4 linked regions of the Coturnix japonica genome follow. Each later gene encodes a partner of the first gene's protein in a complex. Links are inferred from orthologs where the notes say so. Each region holds a gene or a part of one and is shown in the gene's direction. Other genes may lie near its edges. The genes, in order: GNAI3, RGS8, RGS2 and TRPC5.

The links.
Region 2: the proteins of GNAI3 (region 1) and RGS8 are in contact, whole or in part, in a crystal structure (PDB 2ODE), measured with the Homo sapiens proteins. The link is inferred for Coturnix japonica from reciprocal best matches to the Homo sapiens genes GNAI3 and RGS8. Residues at the interface, in NP_006487.1 of Homo sapiens: Glu65, Gln68, Ser75, Val179, Lys180, Thr181, Thr182, Gly183, Ile184, Val185, Gln204, Ser206, Glu207, Lys209, Lys210, His213, Ala235, Glu236, Asp237, Glu238; in NP_001095920.1 of Homo sapiens: Thr76, Glu77, Phe78, Ser79, Glu81, Asn82, Ala117, Pro118, Glu120, Val121, Asn122, Ile123, Asp124, Phe125, Gln126, Arg128, Leu153, Lys156, Asp157, Ser158, Arg161, Arg164.
Region 3: the proteins of GNAI3 (region 1) and RGS2 are in contact, whole or in part, in a crystal structure (PDB 2V4Z), measured with the Homo sapiens proteins. The link is inferred for Coturnix japonica from reciprocal best matches to the Homo sapiens genes GNAI3 and RGS2. Residues at the interface, in NP_006487.1 of Homo sapiens: Val179, Lys180, Thr181, Thr182, Gly183, Ile184, Val185, Gln204, Ser206, Glu207, Lys209, Lys210, His213, Ala235, Glu236, Asp237, Glu238; in NP_002914.1 of Homo sapiens: Glu104, Phe105, Glu108, Asn109, Glu143, Ala144, Pro145, Glu147, Ile148, Asn149, Asp151, Phe152, Leu180, Asn183, Ser185, Arg188.
Region 4: the proteins of GNAI3 (region 1) and TRPC5 are in contact, whole or in part, in a cryo-EM structure (PDB 8GVX), measured with the Homo sapiens proteins. The link is inferred for Coturnix japonica from reciprocal best matches to the Homo sapiens genes GNAI3 and TRPC5. Residues at the interface, in NP_006487.1 of Homo sapiens: Arg205, Arg208, Lys209, Trp211, Ile212, His213, Phe215, Glu216, Glu245, Leu249, Ser252, Asn256, Lys257, Trp258, Arg312; in NP_036603.1 of Homo sapiens: Thr27, Glu32, Glu33, Glu56, Ile57, Tyr58, Tyr59, Asn60, Lys125, Pro128, Thr129, Leu130, Met131.

Annotation. Positions count from the first base shown.
Region 1 is NC_029541.1:1,611,417-1,615,538, forward strand, and holds the start of GNAI3 (guanine nucleotide-binding protein G(i) subunit alpha), read left to right. Parts: upstream 1-1,294; 5' UTR 1,295-1,430; coding exon 1,431-1,548; intron 1,549-2,023; coding exon 2,024-2,066; intron 2,067-2,141; coding exon 2,142-2,283; intron 2,284-2,698; coding exon 2,699-2,856; intron 2,857-4,122. Other genes in the region: GPR61 (G-protein coupled receptor 61), read left to right, coding at 1-588. UniProt on the Homo sapiens protein: Heterotrimeric guanine nucleotide-binding proteins (G proteins) function as transducers downstream of G protein-coupled receptors (GPCRs) in numerous signaling cascades.
Region 2 is NC_029523.1:6,095,530-6,099,724, reverse strand, and holds the start of RGS8 (regulator of G-protein signaling 8), read left to right. Parts: upstream 1-1,374; coding exon 1,375-1,455; intron 1,456-1,465; exon of another isoform or gene 1,466-1,570; coding exon 1,571-1,603; exon of another isoform or gene 1,604-1,612; intron 1,613-2,972; exon of another isoform or gene 2,973-3,432; coding exon of another isoform or gene 3,433-3,458; intron 3,459-4,195. UniProt on the Homo sapiens protein: Regulates G protein-coupled receptor signaling cascades, including signaling via muscarinic acetylcholine receptor CHRM2 and dopamine receptor DRD2.
Region 3 is NC_029523.1:3,458,942-3,463,207, reverse strand, and holds the start of RGS2 (regulator of G-protein signaling 2), read left to right. Parts: upstream 1-1,419; 5' UTR 1,420-1,453; coding exon 1,454-1,569; intron 1,570-1,703; coding exon 1,704-1,805; intron 1,806-1,904; coding exon 1,905-1,966; intron 1,967-2,738; coding exon 2,739-2,905; intron 2,906-3,309; coding exon 3,310-3,504; 3' UTR 3,505-4,266. UniProt on the Homo sapiens protein: Regulates G protein-coupled receptor signaling cascades. Inhibits signal transduction by increasing the GTPase activity of G protein alpha subunits, thereby driving them into their inactive GDP-bound form.
Region 4 is NC_029519.1:12,390,700-12,394,256, forward strand, and holds part of TRPC5 (short transient receptor potential channel 5), read left to right. Parts: intron 1-2,911; coding exon 2,912-3,234; intron 3,235-3,557. UniProt on the Homo sapiens protein: Forms a receptor-activated non-selective calcium permeant cation channel. Mediates calcium-dependent phosphatidylserine externalization and apoptosis in neurons via its association with PLSCR1.

The DNA of each region.
Region 1 (4,122 bases):
ATGCATCACGGCCCCCCTCCCACCTGGATGGAGACCCCCCGGCGCCGCTCCGAGTCGCTCAGCAGCCGTTCCACCATGGTGACCAGCTCGGGGGCGCCCCGCACCACCCCGCAAAGGACGTTTGGAGGGGGCAAAGCGGCCGCCATCTTGCTGGCTGTGGGCGGCCAGTTCCTATTCTGTTGGCTGCCCTATTTCTCCTTCCACCTCTACACGGCGCTCAGTGCACAACCCTTAGCGGGGCCGGCGGCCGAGACCGTGGTCACTTGGCTGGGTTATTTCTGCTTTACCTCCAACCCGTTCTTCTACGGGTGCCTCAACCGGCAGATCCGCGGTGAGCTGGGCCGGCTCCTCACCTGCTTCTTCAAGCAGCCCCCCGAGGAGGACCTGCGTCTGCCCAGCCGGGAGGGCTCCATCGAGGAGAACTTCCTGCAGTTCCTACAGGGCACCGGCTGCCCCCAAGAGCTGCCCCCGCCGCCTCTGGGCACCCCCAGCCCCAAACGGGAACCGGCGCCCGTCGATTTTCGCATCCCGGGACAGATCGGGGATGAAGCGGCCGAAGGGACGGAGCGGACGGGGGGGGCACCGTGAGCAGAGCGGGGCTGTAGCGTGTGCGGCTGCGGGTGTTAAACAAGGATGGAAGGGAAGAGTGGTGTGGGTGTGTGGATGTGGGGCGGGACGTGGGGAGGGGGTGGAGGGGTGGGGGACCCAATGTGTGGGCTCCACGGTGGGGTTGGGGGCTCAGCATCGGGTTGGGGGCTTAGCAGTGGGTTGAGGGCTCAGCATTGGGTTGGGGGGCACAGCATTGGGTTGGGGGCACAGCATTGAGTTGGGGGGCTCAGCATTGGGTTGGGGGCACAGCATTGGGTTGCGGGCACAGCATTGGGTTGGGGGGCTCAGCATCGAGTTGGGGTCACAGCATTGGGTTGGGGGCTTAGCAGTGGGTTGGGGGCTCAGCATCAGGTTAGGGTCACAGCATTGGGATAGGGGAACAGCATTGGGTTGGGGGGCTCAGCATCGGTTTGGGGGCTCAGCACTGGGTTGGGGGCTCAGCATTGGGTTGGGGGCTCAGAATTGGGTTGGGGGGCTCAGCATTGGGTTGGAGGCTCAGCATTGGGTTGGGGGGCTATGTGTTGGGTTGGGGGCTGTGTAGGCCCCGCAATCATCTCAAGACTACAACTCCCATAATACATCCACACAACACCGGAAGTTCCGCCCTCTCAGCTCCCATCATGCACCACTTTACCGAGGCGGAAATGCCCTGTCGGACGGTGCTTCCCGGCGTGCTTTGCGGCTAACGGTCGCTCTGGGCGGATATCCGGTTCCGCCTGTGGGAGCCGCCCCGGCTGAGGGAGAGGCGCGGTTCGGTTCCGCTCCGTCCCTTTTCGTTCCGTTCCATTTGAAGGCCCGGCGGCCTCCGCCCAGCCGCCGTTATGGGCTGTACATTAAGCGCCGAGGATAAAGCGGCGGTAGAAAGGAGTAAAATGATCGATCGGAACCTACGGGAAGACGGCGAGAAGGCGGCCAAGGAGGTGAAACTACTACTGCTGGGTGAGAGGCCTAAACCGGGCCTAGTAGGCCGCGGGGCTGAACTGGGCCTAGTAGGCCGCAGGCTTTAGATTGGGCCTAGTAGGCCGCAGGCTCTGATTTGGGCCTAGTAGGCCGCAGGCTTTGGATTGGGCCTAGTAGGCCGCAGGGGCTGGGCTGGGCCTAGTAGGCCGCGGGGGTGGGGATGCGCTTGGGATCTGTCTAAGTGCATTGGGCCTATCGGAACCAATGGGCCTGTGGGGTTTGGGCCTATTGGAACCAATGGGCCTGTGGGCTTTGGGCCTATTGGAACCAATGGGCCTGTGGGCTTTGGGCCTATCAGAACCCCCAGGGCAGCGCTCCCACGGTGGCCGCACCGCACCGTATGGTGCGGTGTGGCCACCATGGGAGTGCTGCCCTGTGGGGGGTGTTTTAAAGCAAGCCAGGCCTCCTGCTGACTCAATCGTGATGGTCTTCCTTCTGTATTTATCCTTTTTAGGTGCTGGGGAGTCTGGGAAGAGCACCATAGTGAAGCAGATGAAGTAAGTGAAGGGGTTGAAGTGCCGCTGAGCTGCCGGTCTGGTTTGGTTTAGCAATGACAGCTCGGTTTTCTTTAGGATTATCCATGAGGATGGTTACTCGGAGGAGGAATGCAAGCAGTATAAAGTGGTGGTGTACAGCAATACGATCCAGTCCATCATTGCTATCATAAGAGCCATGGGAAGGCTAAAGATTGACTTTGGAGAGGTGGCCAGAGCTGTAAGTACTTCATTGATCTCCCTCTGTGTTTGTGCTTTGAATGGTGTTAATGAGAGCTGGAGATTGGGGCTGTGTCTGCATTGACAGGAGACCCCTCATTGTCTGCAATGTAAGTGCTCAACATTAACCACAAACCTGAGGTGTCCCTGAGCCACCTCGTGTTATAGAAGCAGAGCATTGAGCAGCTTTGGCTGGTCCCTGTGCTCTGTTTGCCATATCTACACATTGCTTGCGAGCCTATGGAGGTGTGGGCTGTCACACTGAGGCTCACAGCAGCATCCTGATCCCTCTATGTGCTGCCTCGTGATGAAATGCTCCATTAGGAAATGAGGCTCCCTCACCTCTCAGCTATTGCAGTGATCCTTAAGCTTGTAAACTTGATTTCCTTTCTTAACCCCCCCTCCTGTCCCTGCAGGACGATGCCCGCCAGCTGTTTGTGTTGGCTGGAAGTGCAGAGGAAGGGGTGATGACGGCCGAGCTGGCTGGAGTGATCAAGAGGCTGTGGAGGGATGCTGGAGTGCAGGCCTGCTTCAGCAGATCCAGGGAGTACCAGCTGAACGACTCTGCCTCGTAGTAAGAGACCCCTTGGGCCCTTCTGGTGGTGGGGTGGGCAGGCAGGAGCTGCCCTCTGCTTGGCTGTGAGTGCTGTGATAACCAATGTGAGGAGGGCAGCTGCTCCTTTGGTTCCTGTCCCTATCAAACAGCTGTTGCTTCTGTGTGGGGAAAGCTGCGTGTTCATTGCTTTGTAAACCCAGGAGGAAGGGTGGCTGTGGGGTCGGTTGTGCTTCCTGGTGGCTCTGCGTGGTCTGGCCAAGTTTGAAGCCTCTGAGAAATGAGTTTGGAAATGCTTTATAAGAACCTTGAGATGAGTCACAGCTCGGCTCCCTGCAGGCTCTGTCTGCACAGAGCACAATGCAGCTCGACAATAAGCAAGAGCGCTTCTGAAACTGTAACAGCTCAGCAGAGGATGTTGAGTTTAGATCAAGGGAGGTGAGCTGGCAGGGGGAGCGTTTCTGAGATGCTTGCAGGAAAGCAGCTTCAGGTTCAAAGGGAGAGGAAAGAGCTGAAAATGAGAGAACAGATTGAATAGAAAGACAGGGCTGTTAGGAAATGCTGCAGAGTGCAGTGAGGAGCTGGCTGCTGCTGCAGCACCCGGCCTTGCTAATGCACAGAGCGAGCAGTCAGCTGAGCTGCTGCCCAGCACGCAGCCCTGAGCGCTTCATCTCTGCTGTTACAGCCTCAGCTTCCTCACTGACACACTGCAGCCCTTCCTGTGGTGATAGTGTGGGTGATGCTGTGGGTACATGGTACTCCTAAGGGTGCTTTATCTCCTGCTCCCCTGCAGGGCTGAGGTCTCAGGGTTGGAAGCACACGCTGCAGAGCAGTGCTGCAGTGAGATGGATGGGGTGATGCCAATGGGGACGGAGCCGTGGATCCCCACAGCTACTGAGCCAGGAGCTGGGGAGGCTCAGAGCAGCAGCAGGGCAGACACAAGTCGTGCTGTGGGCTTTCAGTCAGTGCTCTGTTCCCAGAGCCTCATTTCAGGGCGTAAAGAAAAGAAAACAAGTGAACCGAATCCACCCTTCTTGCAAGCTTGTGTTTACCAGATGGCGTCAGAGCATGGGAAGTAGCTGGCTCTGTAAACATGAGGGTGCGAGGTGGGGAAGCAGTGTTGCAACCTCAGCGTACAGAGGAAGCCTGGTGGTGGAGGAGGCTGCAGAAGGGCTGCAGGCAGTGTGGGGTGCAGCGGCTTTTATTGTATCCAGCGAACCTGGATGTGGTGGTGGGCAGCAGGAGGAGGCTGTGGGCTGCCCTGACCTGCTGTGAGTCCTCCCCACA
Region 2 (4,195 bases), on another chromosome or scaffold:
TGAACCCTGAGTGATGCTGTGTTAAATTTGGCCTGGGTTCGGGGAAGGGCTGAAGCGGATTGTTATTTAACTGGAACAGACCAGAGGCATCAGATGAACCTCAACCTTTAACCTTGGCTGAGAGGAGGTTGTATCAACCACTGCATTTTTTTTTGTTAGGGTATTTTCAGCACTTGTTTCCTCATCACCGGAGATGCGATGAATCCAAGTCAGGATGACCTGGGCTTTGCAAGGGGGAGGATGACAGCAGGGGAGAGTTATTTCCTTGCCAAGATGAGCTGTGAAGGAGGGAATCCAGGCTGGAGCAATGGGATCATGCCTGCAGAGCTGCTAATCCCTGTGTTTTTATAGTAAGTTCTATGGGATGCTCCCTCCCCAGGGGTGTTGCCTGGTGATGATGTGCTGTCTCAAGCTGTGCTTCTTGCTAAGAGCATGAGGATGTCAGCCCAGGGTTTTGTTAGCCAAGGAGAGGTGATGAGGGAAAAATAGCAACTGGTTTATCTGCTTGGGATTGGGGTTTTGTGGTGTACAGTATTTTTTCTGATGCCTCAAGCGGTGACAAGCTCCATCAAGAGCTCTCATGGCTGTAGAATCACAGAATGATTTGAGTTGGAAGGGATACTTAAAAGCCATCTGGTCCAACCCCCTGTATTCAGCAGGGATGCTTATAGCTATATCAGGTGCTCAGAGCCCACTCAGCCTGACCTTGGTTGTCTGCAGGGATGGGGCACCCACTGTCACTCTGAGCAACACGTTCCCCATCAAAATGGGGAGATCTCATGGCTTGGGCCCTTGGTGAGCACCTCTATTGGCATCCAGGGGCTGTGCTTCTGGTGGCTGAGCCAAGCCCAGGTCTGAGGTCTCACTGCTGGGGTCCTGCTACTGGGGTGCAGGGATAGATTACAGTAGAAGCCTCACCAGGAGTGAACCCCAGATACACGCTGTTGGCTGAAGGTGGAGGGGTGGGTGCAGGAAGAGGGGTGGGAGGCAAACCAAGGTTGGTTCCAGGGGAGGGGGGGCACATAGCAAAGAAGTGCAGGGGCTGGTTGCAACCTGAGCTGCCAGGTGGGTTGGTTTCTTCCCTTTCCCATGCTGTACAATAAGGTTAACGATTTCCCTTGCCCCCACTGAAGCCGAGGCTCTCTAATTAAGCTCCCCACTCCCTTCTGTCTATGCGACTGCCGACGATCCGAGGGCAGCATCCTCCCCTAAGCCTCAGAGAGGCTGATCAAAGCGATGCGGGAGGGACTCTCCCTCCCAAAGAGGGGAGGGTGACAGCAGCGACAGCTCTGGCAGACATCCCCCACCCCACCGGCTTTTGGCATCTGTAGCGGGGCGGGGGGACGCTCCCAGCAGGTGAGCGGGCGAGGAGGGATGCGGAGGGACGAGCGGGTCAGGTGGGCACCGCTGCATCGCCGCCCATCGCGGTGCAGCCGCCGCGTTGCGGAGCGCCGGGTGAGGCTGTGCGGGGCTGAGACGCGGGGCTCCGGGTGGGGTGTGGGGAAAGAAGAGGGATCGGAGGGCAGTGCGAGGGGCTGGGTCTGAAGGGAGCTCTCTGCTGTGTCCCCAGAGCCTCCCCGAGCACACGCGGAGGACAGGTCAACCAACGGCGGTGAGTATCGCTCAGTCCGCAGTGCCTCCTCGCTCGGTTTATCTGCTCTGCGGGTGTTTTATCTCCTGAAGCCCACCTACCCCCCCACCCCGGGTCTGGTGTTTGTTTGGTTTGTTTTCCTCTTCCCCTTTGTGCTGCTGATTGGGATGGCTCCCTTATCTTTGCTCAGGTGATCTCCTGGGATGGAGGGGGGTCGATAATCCCGATGTCATGGTTGCTCCCCCTCCCTTTGTCTCCCAAGGAGAAACCCCAAAACACATCCATGGTGAGAGTGGCAGTTCTCCTGGATGGGGCCCTGCCTTAGGGGGGGGCGGTGGAAGAGTACAAGGGATGGAGGGTGAAGCAATAATCCTCGCTGCAGACTCTTACTGGGATGCCTTCACCACATTCTATTTCTAAGGGCATCGACTGGCTTTGCTGGCAAGTCAAGGGCATACCGTACCCACAGATGCTCCAGCCCAGCTGTGGGACTCGATGTCCCAAAGACAGACAGACTTTGGGACCTTGGGGAAGTTGGGTGCCGTTCTGTTGTGCAGGTTGTGTGGGTGGGAGCGGGGGTGAGCATTGAGCTGTTTCATAACAGCACCTCCAAAAGCATGTAGCAAGGGGAGACTGCAAGAGAGGGCACCATGTGGGCACCCATCCCAGCTGTCAGAGAGAGAAGGGGCTGCTGGGCTCTGGGAAATCCTCTGCTTGGCCCCACATGTGGGTGAAACTGTTAATGAGGAAATTTTGAAGGGGCTTAAGGAATTACAAGGATTGATTTCAGTTAAAGCACATCGAAGCAGCCGGTCAGGGCAGGGATTAAGAAAATGCACTCACTGGCATATAGTGCAATCCCAGTTCCATTAATTTAGTTGGGAAGAGGCTTTGTGTGTTTTTAATGTAATCAGGTTTTAAAAGGGATGCTGCATTGGGCAGCACAAGCTTTGGGATCTCCCCTGGCCCGGGCAGAGCGAGCTCCTGGCTCCTTGTACGCAGCTGCTGTTCCCATCAGCTCCTCACTCTCCTCCTCTGCCATCCCCCCTGGGCTGGGAGACCTGGAGGTTATCTGGAGCTCAACCTTGTCCTGGCAAACAGGAAACCTTTGCACTTTGCTTGCTACGCAAGCAGCTCTGTCCTGCTCTGTCCTACCAGCTTAGTGGATACTGCCTTCACTGCCTGCAGGGAGATCCGTCCCAGCAGAATCTCATACCCATGCTCAGGGAACCCTGCCACCCCCTCAGTCCATTCATTCAGCTTCCACCACCCAGACAAGGAGATGCTTTCATTGAGTTCATCTGTATGAGTGCTTGAGCCCTGCAATGGTGGAAGGAGTGATCCACAGGTGCATGAAGTCCTCCTGTTCTTCTGTTTGCAGCACAACGATGGCCAGTAACGCCAGCTGTGACCCGCAGGCACATGGAAAAGAGGTAGTTGGATCCTCTTAGTGAGGTCAGCCCGGAGCTCTGCCTGTTGAGGACCGACCTTTGGAGGCAACACATGATGAATGTGGCTGTGCCGAGCCCTGCTGCTCCATGCTGAGCCGTGACGCCAAGCACAGACCTGCAGCTGGACTTACCCCATGGCTCTGCTCCCAGGAGGAAATGCTGTCTCTTCTTTGTGATCATCCTTCAGCTCCGAGAGTCTTCCATTGGAAAACTGACGAGGATCAAATGGGTTGAGAGCAACGGGCCCTCCTTTTCTGGCAGAGGATTCTTTGTTATATTTTGAAGTGCCAGGACATCAAACTGTAAATCCCTCCTTCCCACACTCCTAATCTCCTGCAAACCACTCTCCAAGCCAACCAGACAGAGGATTGGCCGTAACTGGAGTCCTGAATGGCTGCATTACTGATCCCACGGAGGTAACTGCACAGACACCTCACCCCTTGTTGCTGTCTGCCTCATCCTGTGAGCCTCATGGCTCCCTCCTGCCCTTCCCCTGCCTCCCCACACCTCCTACCAATCCAGGTTCTTTTCCCTGTGTCCTGTCCTGGTGTCACAACCCGTGTTCCCCAAGCTGAGCTCCGTGCTCACAGTGCAGCATCGCAGCCTCCTTGCTGCCATTCCCTGCTGCAGTCCCATCATCTCAGGCACTGGAGAAATCCCAGCAGCACTGCATACCACACCTCTTGCTGAGAAAGCTGTGAGCTTTATCAGGGCATGGCCAAGGTGGATGAGCGCTGGGGACAGGAGGCATATGGGAAAGGTACCAGTGCGATCCTATAGCCACTCAGTGTCAGTCTGAGCGCAGCAGGCTCAGCTGGAGATGCAGTGCTGTGCACACAGTGTCTGCTTTGCTGTGGATGTAGGGCAACATCCTGAGACTGCAGTCCACAGGTTTGTGTTTTGGAGCTATTCTTGCCACTGAAGATCCCCAGGTTTTGTGCTGGGAGCTGCCTGAGCTCTGCCAGGGAGACACTCGTTGCATTTAATTAACATTTAATTTGCTGTAAGATTACATGAAAATGTGCAATAATAGAAACTCTCTGCAGGGCGGGAGGAGAAGAGGGGGACAGGCGTGCTACAGATTAGCTCAGTGCTGAAGTGTTCTGCATAGGGAAGGGAGAAAATGCTGTGCTTCCCTCTGCAGTCTCAGGGA
Region 3 (4,266 bases), on another chromosome or scaffold:
CATCAGCAAGAGGCAGCGTGAGATGCAGCATGGATGCTGCATCCCTCACTTTGCCTGTGGCTCCTCTGCCATCCCAAAAGCAGACTGGTGCAACCTGCCTAGTTCACGTGATGCCAGCAGCAGCGCTGATGACGTTGTTTGATGTCAGACACATTCCCCTTCTATTTAACTCATACACAGAAAACATCTTCTGTCACACAAATGTTTTAACTGCTGTCCCAGCAAAGGTCAGGGTCACTACCAGAAAGCACGCAGCACAGCATGATGCAGCAAGAAACTATTCCATGTAGTTTCTTCTTCACTGCAAAAAACCAACACAGAACCAACAAAACATGCTAATAGCCTCACTTTAGGAGCGTAATGAAAATGTAAACTTCAAATACATATTAATGCAGATGATCAAAGTTGATCTAAGTATCTTTTTAAAACCAGATGTTATAGCAAGTACATCTTATCAGGCCATCTAACCTTACAATTCCATGTTCATAGGGTTGAAAAGGACCACAATGCTCATCTAGCTTCAAACCTCCTGCTATGTGCAGGGTCACCAACCACCAGACCAGGCTGCTCAGAGCACGTCCAGCCTGGCCTTGAATGCCTCCAGTGTTTTATTTTAACCTGAAATGCTATTTTCCCCTCTCACTGTTTAAAGACATAACAAAAGCTGTCTTAGAATCATTAAGGTTGGAAAGACCTCTCCAAGCCCAACTCCAGCCCATCCGCACTGACCATGCCTCTCAGTGCCATATCCTCCTCCTTTCTGGAACACCTCCAGGGACGATGACACCCCCCTATCTCCCAGCACAGCCTGTGCCACTCTATCACCACAAACTATTCCTAATACCTAACCTGGTCCTCCCCGGGAGCAACGTGAGACTATTCCTTCTCATCCTCACACAGGCTTTTCCTTAGCAAGCTCCCACCTGGGCAGCTCCTGCACGCAACAGGCAGCAGTACTGCATCCTTCTTTAAATGCTTTCAAATATTAAATAGAGGCCGTTTTTACCTAAGGCAAGATGCTCTGGCACAAGGCTGTGGGGGGGGGATGCTTTTTCGAGCCTAAGGTGTTGTGACGCGTGCGGCCGGTAGGGGGCAAAACGACGTGCTCAAATTTATCGCCGCTTTGGTTTTATCTTTTTTTCTTTTTTGAATAAAGGGGCCTTTATTCCTCCTTCCTCCTTTTCTTCTCTGCTCAGAAGCCTGTGCTGACTTTACGGACCCAAATCTGCAAATCGAAGAGGAAGAGAAGTAGAGTTGGAAAAGCAGCTTAAAGAGGAGAGAGAAAGAAAAGAGCGGAGAGAAAAGTAGCTCTGGGAGGGGTGGGAGGGGAAAGGGGGGGGGAAAAAAAAGAGAATAAATCAATATCGGAGCGCCCGGCCATACGGGGCGGGGCGTGGGGCGGAGCACGGGTGCTATATGGGGCGCTGCTGCAGCCGGGCAGCGGTGTAGGGCGATGCAGAGCGCCGTGTTCGTTGCTTTGCCGCAGGACGGCGGGCGGATGGAGCGGGGCAGCCGACGACGAGCTGAGCTGGAGGAGACGGACAAGGGCAGGATGATGAAGCGCACCATGTGAGTGGCACCGCCGGCTCGGCCGAAGGGAAAGGTTTCTCTCTTCTGCTCGCAGCCTGAAGGCGGCTCTGGGTACTGGGGTGAGGTTGGTGGTTGACGGCTTCGTTGTAAATGAGCGTCTTTTGTTTTTCCAGCATTAAAGACTGGAAGAAGAAGCTGAGCTACTTCCTGCAGAACTCTTCCCGTTCTGGCAAAATGAAGTCCAACAAAGCGAGCAAACACCACACCTATTTCAGGTGAGTTCCAGCCTTAGATAACTCGAGTGCTGCACAAAAGAAGCAGCAGATCTCGAGCTGCGGTCTCACTTTCTCTGCTCTTCTCTCTGCCTCACACAGACCTTCCCCCGAGGAAGCCCGGCTGTGGTCAGAAGCCTTCGATGAACTGCTGGCTAACAAATGTAAGTTGGTCTTCAGGCTGTAACTGTTAAGAACGAAGCAGGGGAGAAGCTGATATAGGAGATGGCTTCCCTGCATGTCAGTACTGCACGGAGCTCTTAAAGTAATATTAAAGCAGAGCTCCCCACTCTGAAGCATTGTAGCTGTAGGCTCTGTAGTTCAACTTTACCTATTCAGCCTGGCTTTGCCATAAGTGCAAAGCACTGTGCTCTCTTATCCAAATCAGATTCATTCTTATAATTCAGTAAGGATTCTGCAGCACAGAAGTCCACTGATTTCATTTTCTTGTGGGGCAGATTTTTGCTGGGGAAAAAAAAAAAAAAAAAGCACTCAACAGCACAGCAGTAACAACTAAGAGCTGATACGGCAATTTGTTCTTTGAACTTCTGAGTCATCCTTTCCATTGCAAAAGCGTTCCAGGGGTTTGTTGTGCTGTCAGAAGTATTTGCTCCAGCATAAAGGTTAATGAGGATGATCCCATCTAGAGCTTTTCTTCTTAACGTAGCTCATCTGCAGGTATCATAAGGGTACACACTGACTAGAAACAGCTTTTGGTTTTGCACTTACATTAATTTGGCTGACTTGAAGCCTGCCAAGCTGTTAGGGTGTTAATTTGCCTGCAATGTGGATTTCTTATTACCATAACATTGCAGAAAAGACCAGAACTACAGCAAAATATTTTGCTAGGAGCAGATGTGACAAATTGGCAAATATAAGATGCCTGGAATACTTAATTGATGTGGTTTTGCCTCCCTCCCCCCTTCCTTTCCCTAGATGGTGTTGCTGCTTTCCGAGCTTTTCTGAAGTCTGAGTTCTGCGAAGAGAACATCGAGTTCTGGCTGGCATGTGAGGACTTCAAGAAAACCAAATCCCCCCAGAAGCTGACACTGAAGGCAAAGAAAATCTACAATGACTTCATTGAAAAGGAGGCTCCCAAGGAGGTAAGGAAAGCACACAAGCATTGCCCTGTTTCGTGTCTTTAGCCCCACTCTATTCCTCTGAGCTTGTAAGATGCAGATGCCACAAATGCATTGGACACAACTTTTCCCTGACTGCCTTCTTTCATCAAGGTGGAAAATGGTACAAGCTGTACTTCAGATTCCACCTTAGCATGAATGGGGAGGGGGGGAGGAAAAACCAGCCTTGTCAAACACCTGTAATACTTGGGTTTGGCACCAGAAAACAGCATACCTGGATTACTCCAAGTTTTCATAGTAAAGAAATAATTTAAAAGAAACTACATCAATTTATCCCTGAAACAAAAGGACTCCTGACCTCTTCAAAAGTGTTGTGCTTGTTGGGATTCAGTTCTCAGAAAGTAAGCATCTGTTTTTTTGTATTTCAGATAAACATTGACTTCCAGACCAAGAACATGATAGCACAGAACCTCCAGGAAGCCACACACACCTGCTTCAGTGCAGCACAGAAGAGAGTTTACAGCCTCATGGAGAACAACTCATACCCACGGTTTCTGGAATCGGAGTTCTATCAGGAGCTGTGCAAGAAGCCTCCCATCACCAGAGCTGCCCAGGGAACATGAGTGCAGAGTGAGGAAACACCTCTCAGCTACCAAGGAACTGAGCTGGCTTGGCAGCATCCTGACCTGAGAGACTGAGATGGGAGCACTCAGTCAGTTTGCCTCAGCATAAGGACTGATATTGACTTTGGTGCAAAGCTGTTGGCAAAGGACATTGTTGGAAGGCGTTTGTGGCTGGCAGCAGTGCACCAGGCTGGTGATGTCCTTTTTGGAGTGCTGCAGTAAAGGAGCCTGCACGCATCTAACTGAGCTGTGCCTTGTGACACGCTCCTTGTCATAGCTGTGGTGTTATACAGCAGGTCAGCACAGAGCTGCCCTTCTGCAAGCAGAAGCATAAGTCTGTGCAGTTGAGCAGTGCTGGGAACTTGAGTCATGTATAGATTCTGGTGGCTTTTTTTTTTTTCCCCCTGCACATCAACCAGTACTGCTGTCATCAGTTCCTGGGTGTTGTAACACCATCTGTTTAAGCTGACATGAGCTGCAAAGAGATGTACTGAGGTTTGTGTGTGGTTTGCAGGCACCAGTTCTACCCTCACTGCTGTGCAAGGAGGGGACAGCCAGTTCTGCTCTAGGAGGAATGAGCTGTGCAGCACAGCCTGCAGGGCTGGGCATGGCAGCAGGGCTGCGTGAAGCTGGGCAGAGGGCAAAGCCCAGCTACAGTGAACAGGAGCTATACAGTATTATATTTATATACAGATTATGATTGTGTTGAACGCTGCAATATGTCATAATTTTGTTTGAGACAGCAAGCTTCAGTGAAGTCTT
Region 4 (3,557 bases), on another chromosome or scaffold:
ATCTTTAGTCACTGAGACCCATGATATGTAGATTACTTATCAGGAGTCTGTGAAAAGTGTGCTGTGAGCGCATCTGCTGGTAGGTGGCTTCCATTTGATATAAAGCAGTCAGCTTCTCCTCTTGTAAATACACTCAAGGTTTAATTTGTAGGCAAAGAAGTGACAGAGCAACATGCTGGAACTTTAAAATTGTACTGTTTGGGGGCATGTTGAAAATCCAGAAGGCTGTATGGCGGCCTGTTAGATTTCCAAGGGAAAAACTTCCAAGACAGTTGCTTGTCCCTGAAGAAGCAGCTCTGTGACAACATCAAAGCAAAAATAGATCACATCTTTTCTTCCCAGCATTCAGAACCAGTGAGGAAATTAGAGACTTTAAAGGCTGGTCTTTAATCTGTGAGCAATACAGAAAATGTTGAAAATTGTAGCATTCACAAACAAATCCTAAAATGCTAACAATCTCTTTTTATTTCTCTCTCACACACACAAATTACACATCCACAGATTTATATGGTCACACACTGAAATTTAAACTTGCAGCCAAACCAGACACACTGAGGAAACATAGTTTCATTTATATGCTTCCTAAGAACCTCAGGAACAAAGAGCTATACATCAGCACAAAAAAGAATACAAAATGATTACAGGAATGTATCCGTTTAAGTACAGATCAGACCCACTTGAATTAAACCTGGCTATAACCTAAGGTCTGGTCTTGACAAGGACCAAGGTCAAACAATACTGAGAAGTGCTTAAAACATTCTACAGTGGTAGCTCTTACACAGCATGCCCACAGAAGTTCTGACCTATGTCACATAAAGGTTGCAGTATGCTCAGAGACACGAGCATTTAAAACATTGATAATGGCTTCAAAGTCTTCTGCAACATGACCTGTAAAGTTTTTTGTTATTTATAGAACAGCCCGGGGCTGGAAATGGCTGTTACATATACCAATATACCATAGTCTAACATTTCTTGGAACTCCAAAGATTTACATGGACATTTAACTTTCTGCCAAATATAAGAAAAATAAATTGTATACTGACAGTTGTTTTCCATCCTAATTTTTGTGTGGAGACTTTTTTTTCTTTTCCCCTGATTTGACTGGTTTCAAGATCTGGCTGCAATATTATCTAGTAACAATGAAATCTTCAGCCTCATTATAGGGTAAAAATTCTTTCTTAATCAGTTTTCATTTTCTGCATTGAATTATCACGTAATGAGAAAGGGTAAATATGCCAGTCTATTATAACTTATTTGTACTACTCTGTATACTTTGTTTTTCATCTTCTGATGCCTAACCTGAACAGCTCCAGCCTTCTCATTAGATAACTCTGAAATCAGTTTCTCTGCTACCTCCGGTTGCCCATTCAAAAGTGATTGCTGCTTTCCAAGCAAGGATATACCATCAGTTTATAAAGGGCTAAAATACAATCCTAGCAAGTTGCTTTAAAAGTAGATGTGAGATGAAGTCCTTCTCACATTCCTTTACTTACACCCTATCCTCGCAGAGAGCCTCAAGGCTGCTGTGTCCAGCCGGCATGCAGAAGGAAACTGCAAATCTTCCCTCTAGGAAGGGGAGGCTTGCTGGTCACATCTGTCCACTCCCACTGTAGGTTGTTGGCAGAAAAGTTTAAAGTGGCCACCTGTTTGTAAATGTTTTAAGACCCATCTTCAAATCAAGTTAACAAACTCAGGCCATTATGTTCATGGAATAATGAAAGGCTTGGAAATTTCAGAAGCAATCACATCCCATTGAAATTCTGTCATGTCTCAGTGCCTTCATATGGAGGAACAGTTTAAAAACAACTGCTGGTTTTAGTTGTATCCTTGAAAAAAAAACCTTCAGATTCAAATGGGAAGTCCCTATAAGCTCATCTGCCAGTGATATATGGCTGCCATTTCCTTTTTAAAAGTGTAAAAAAGGTTTTTAGAGACCTAGACATTCTGGCTACACTATCAGCAGTACATTTTTGCCTTTTCACGTGTTAAGTCAGCAGAAATAAATGCTATAGAAGACAAAATATTCCTTGATGTTAAAATGTCTTTAACTCCATCCTCTGCTGCCAGAGAAGTCACATTTATACATACCAGCTCTTTTATGTCACCTATTTACATCTGGCTGCACCTGGCTCACATAATGCTTCTGCTTTTACAGTTACATTACAAACCAAGTTAATTTTACAACCGATGCACTCAAGTGTATCCAGCGTTTTGGCTGTAATTATGACCTCTGCCTAAGCAACTTTCCTGGAATTACCATGGCAAGTTAACTAATGAGAAAATTAATGTGAAGAACATTATTTGGTTCTGGGCTGTTGGCACATTTTTGGCGGAGGGAAAGCATCCGCTTCTTATGTTCCTTAATTCATTGCTTGCTTTCTTCCTTCCTTCCTTTCTGTCTCTCTCTCACATTCATCCTGGAATAAGCAGTGTTTCAAGGGTGTGATAGTATTCAGGAAGAAAAATAGTAAGAAGGTCATTGGAAATGACCTATACCTACTAAGGATCAGTCTGAACCCCTTTAAGTGTTATAAGAGAAAGATGTTATATATCAACACAAGGACCTGAATTACCCACAGTTACCCAATTCAAAAGACCTGTTATCAAACTTTAGCTGAGTACAGCCCACATACCAGAAACCCCCAGAGAAAAGCTGATATCCCAAAAATATCTCTAGAGAGCAGTCTAAATCTGTAGGGGGTTTCATAAGAAGACTTCATTAGAAAGCTCTGTCCTGATGAACTCATCTTCAATCATGAATCATGAATGATAGTGGTTGAAAAGTACTTCTTGTGTCACTATCTGGTTGATATATGTAGGTAAAGCATTAGTATTAGCAGGTTTGAGTTTCAAGTTTACCTCAAAATGATTACAACATAATTCACTTTTATACCCTTGTTATTTCTTTCAGTACAACGGTTCTCGTCCAAGGGAGGAATGGGAAATGTGGCACCCGACTCTCATTGCAGAAGCCCTCTTTGCAATATCCAACATTTTAAGTTCTTTGCGTCTCATATCCCTGTTTACAGCAAATTCACACCTGGGACCCCTGCAGATTTCTCTGGGACGCATGCTGCTAGACATCCTTAAATTCCTTTTTATCTACTGTCTGGTGCTTCTGGCTTTTGCCAATGGACTGAACCAGCTTTATTTTTATTATGAGACCAGTGCCTCGGAGGAACCCAACAACTGCAAGGGGATCCGATGTGAGAAACAGAACAATGCCTTCTCCACGTAAGATGTTCTTTCCTGTCTTGATTTTGAGGACAACTCTCACTGTCCTCTGTCTTACCTGCTTTTATATGTTGTGTATCACTGCACCAAAAGTAACTTTATTTTTCATTTGTAAATATCAGGTGAGCTGCTTGACTGTGCAGGAAAGGTGTGAGTTAACTGGGGCAGGCATTCTGCTGAGCTTTGCTGTCAGAAAGCCTCTTAGGTCTGGAAGTGAGAGACAATCATTTTAGTTCTGGTCCAGAGAGTCTCTCTGCATCATCCTGCAACTGAAATGTTATTACTGCTACGTTCAGTTTTGGCATGTGAGAAAATGGGTATCC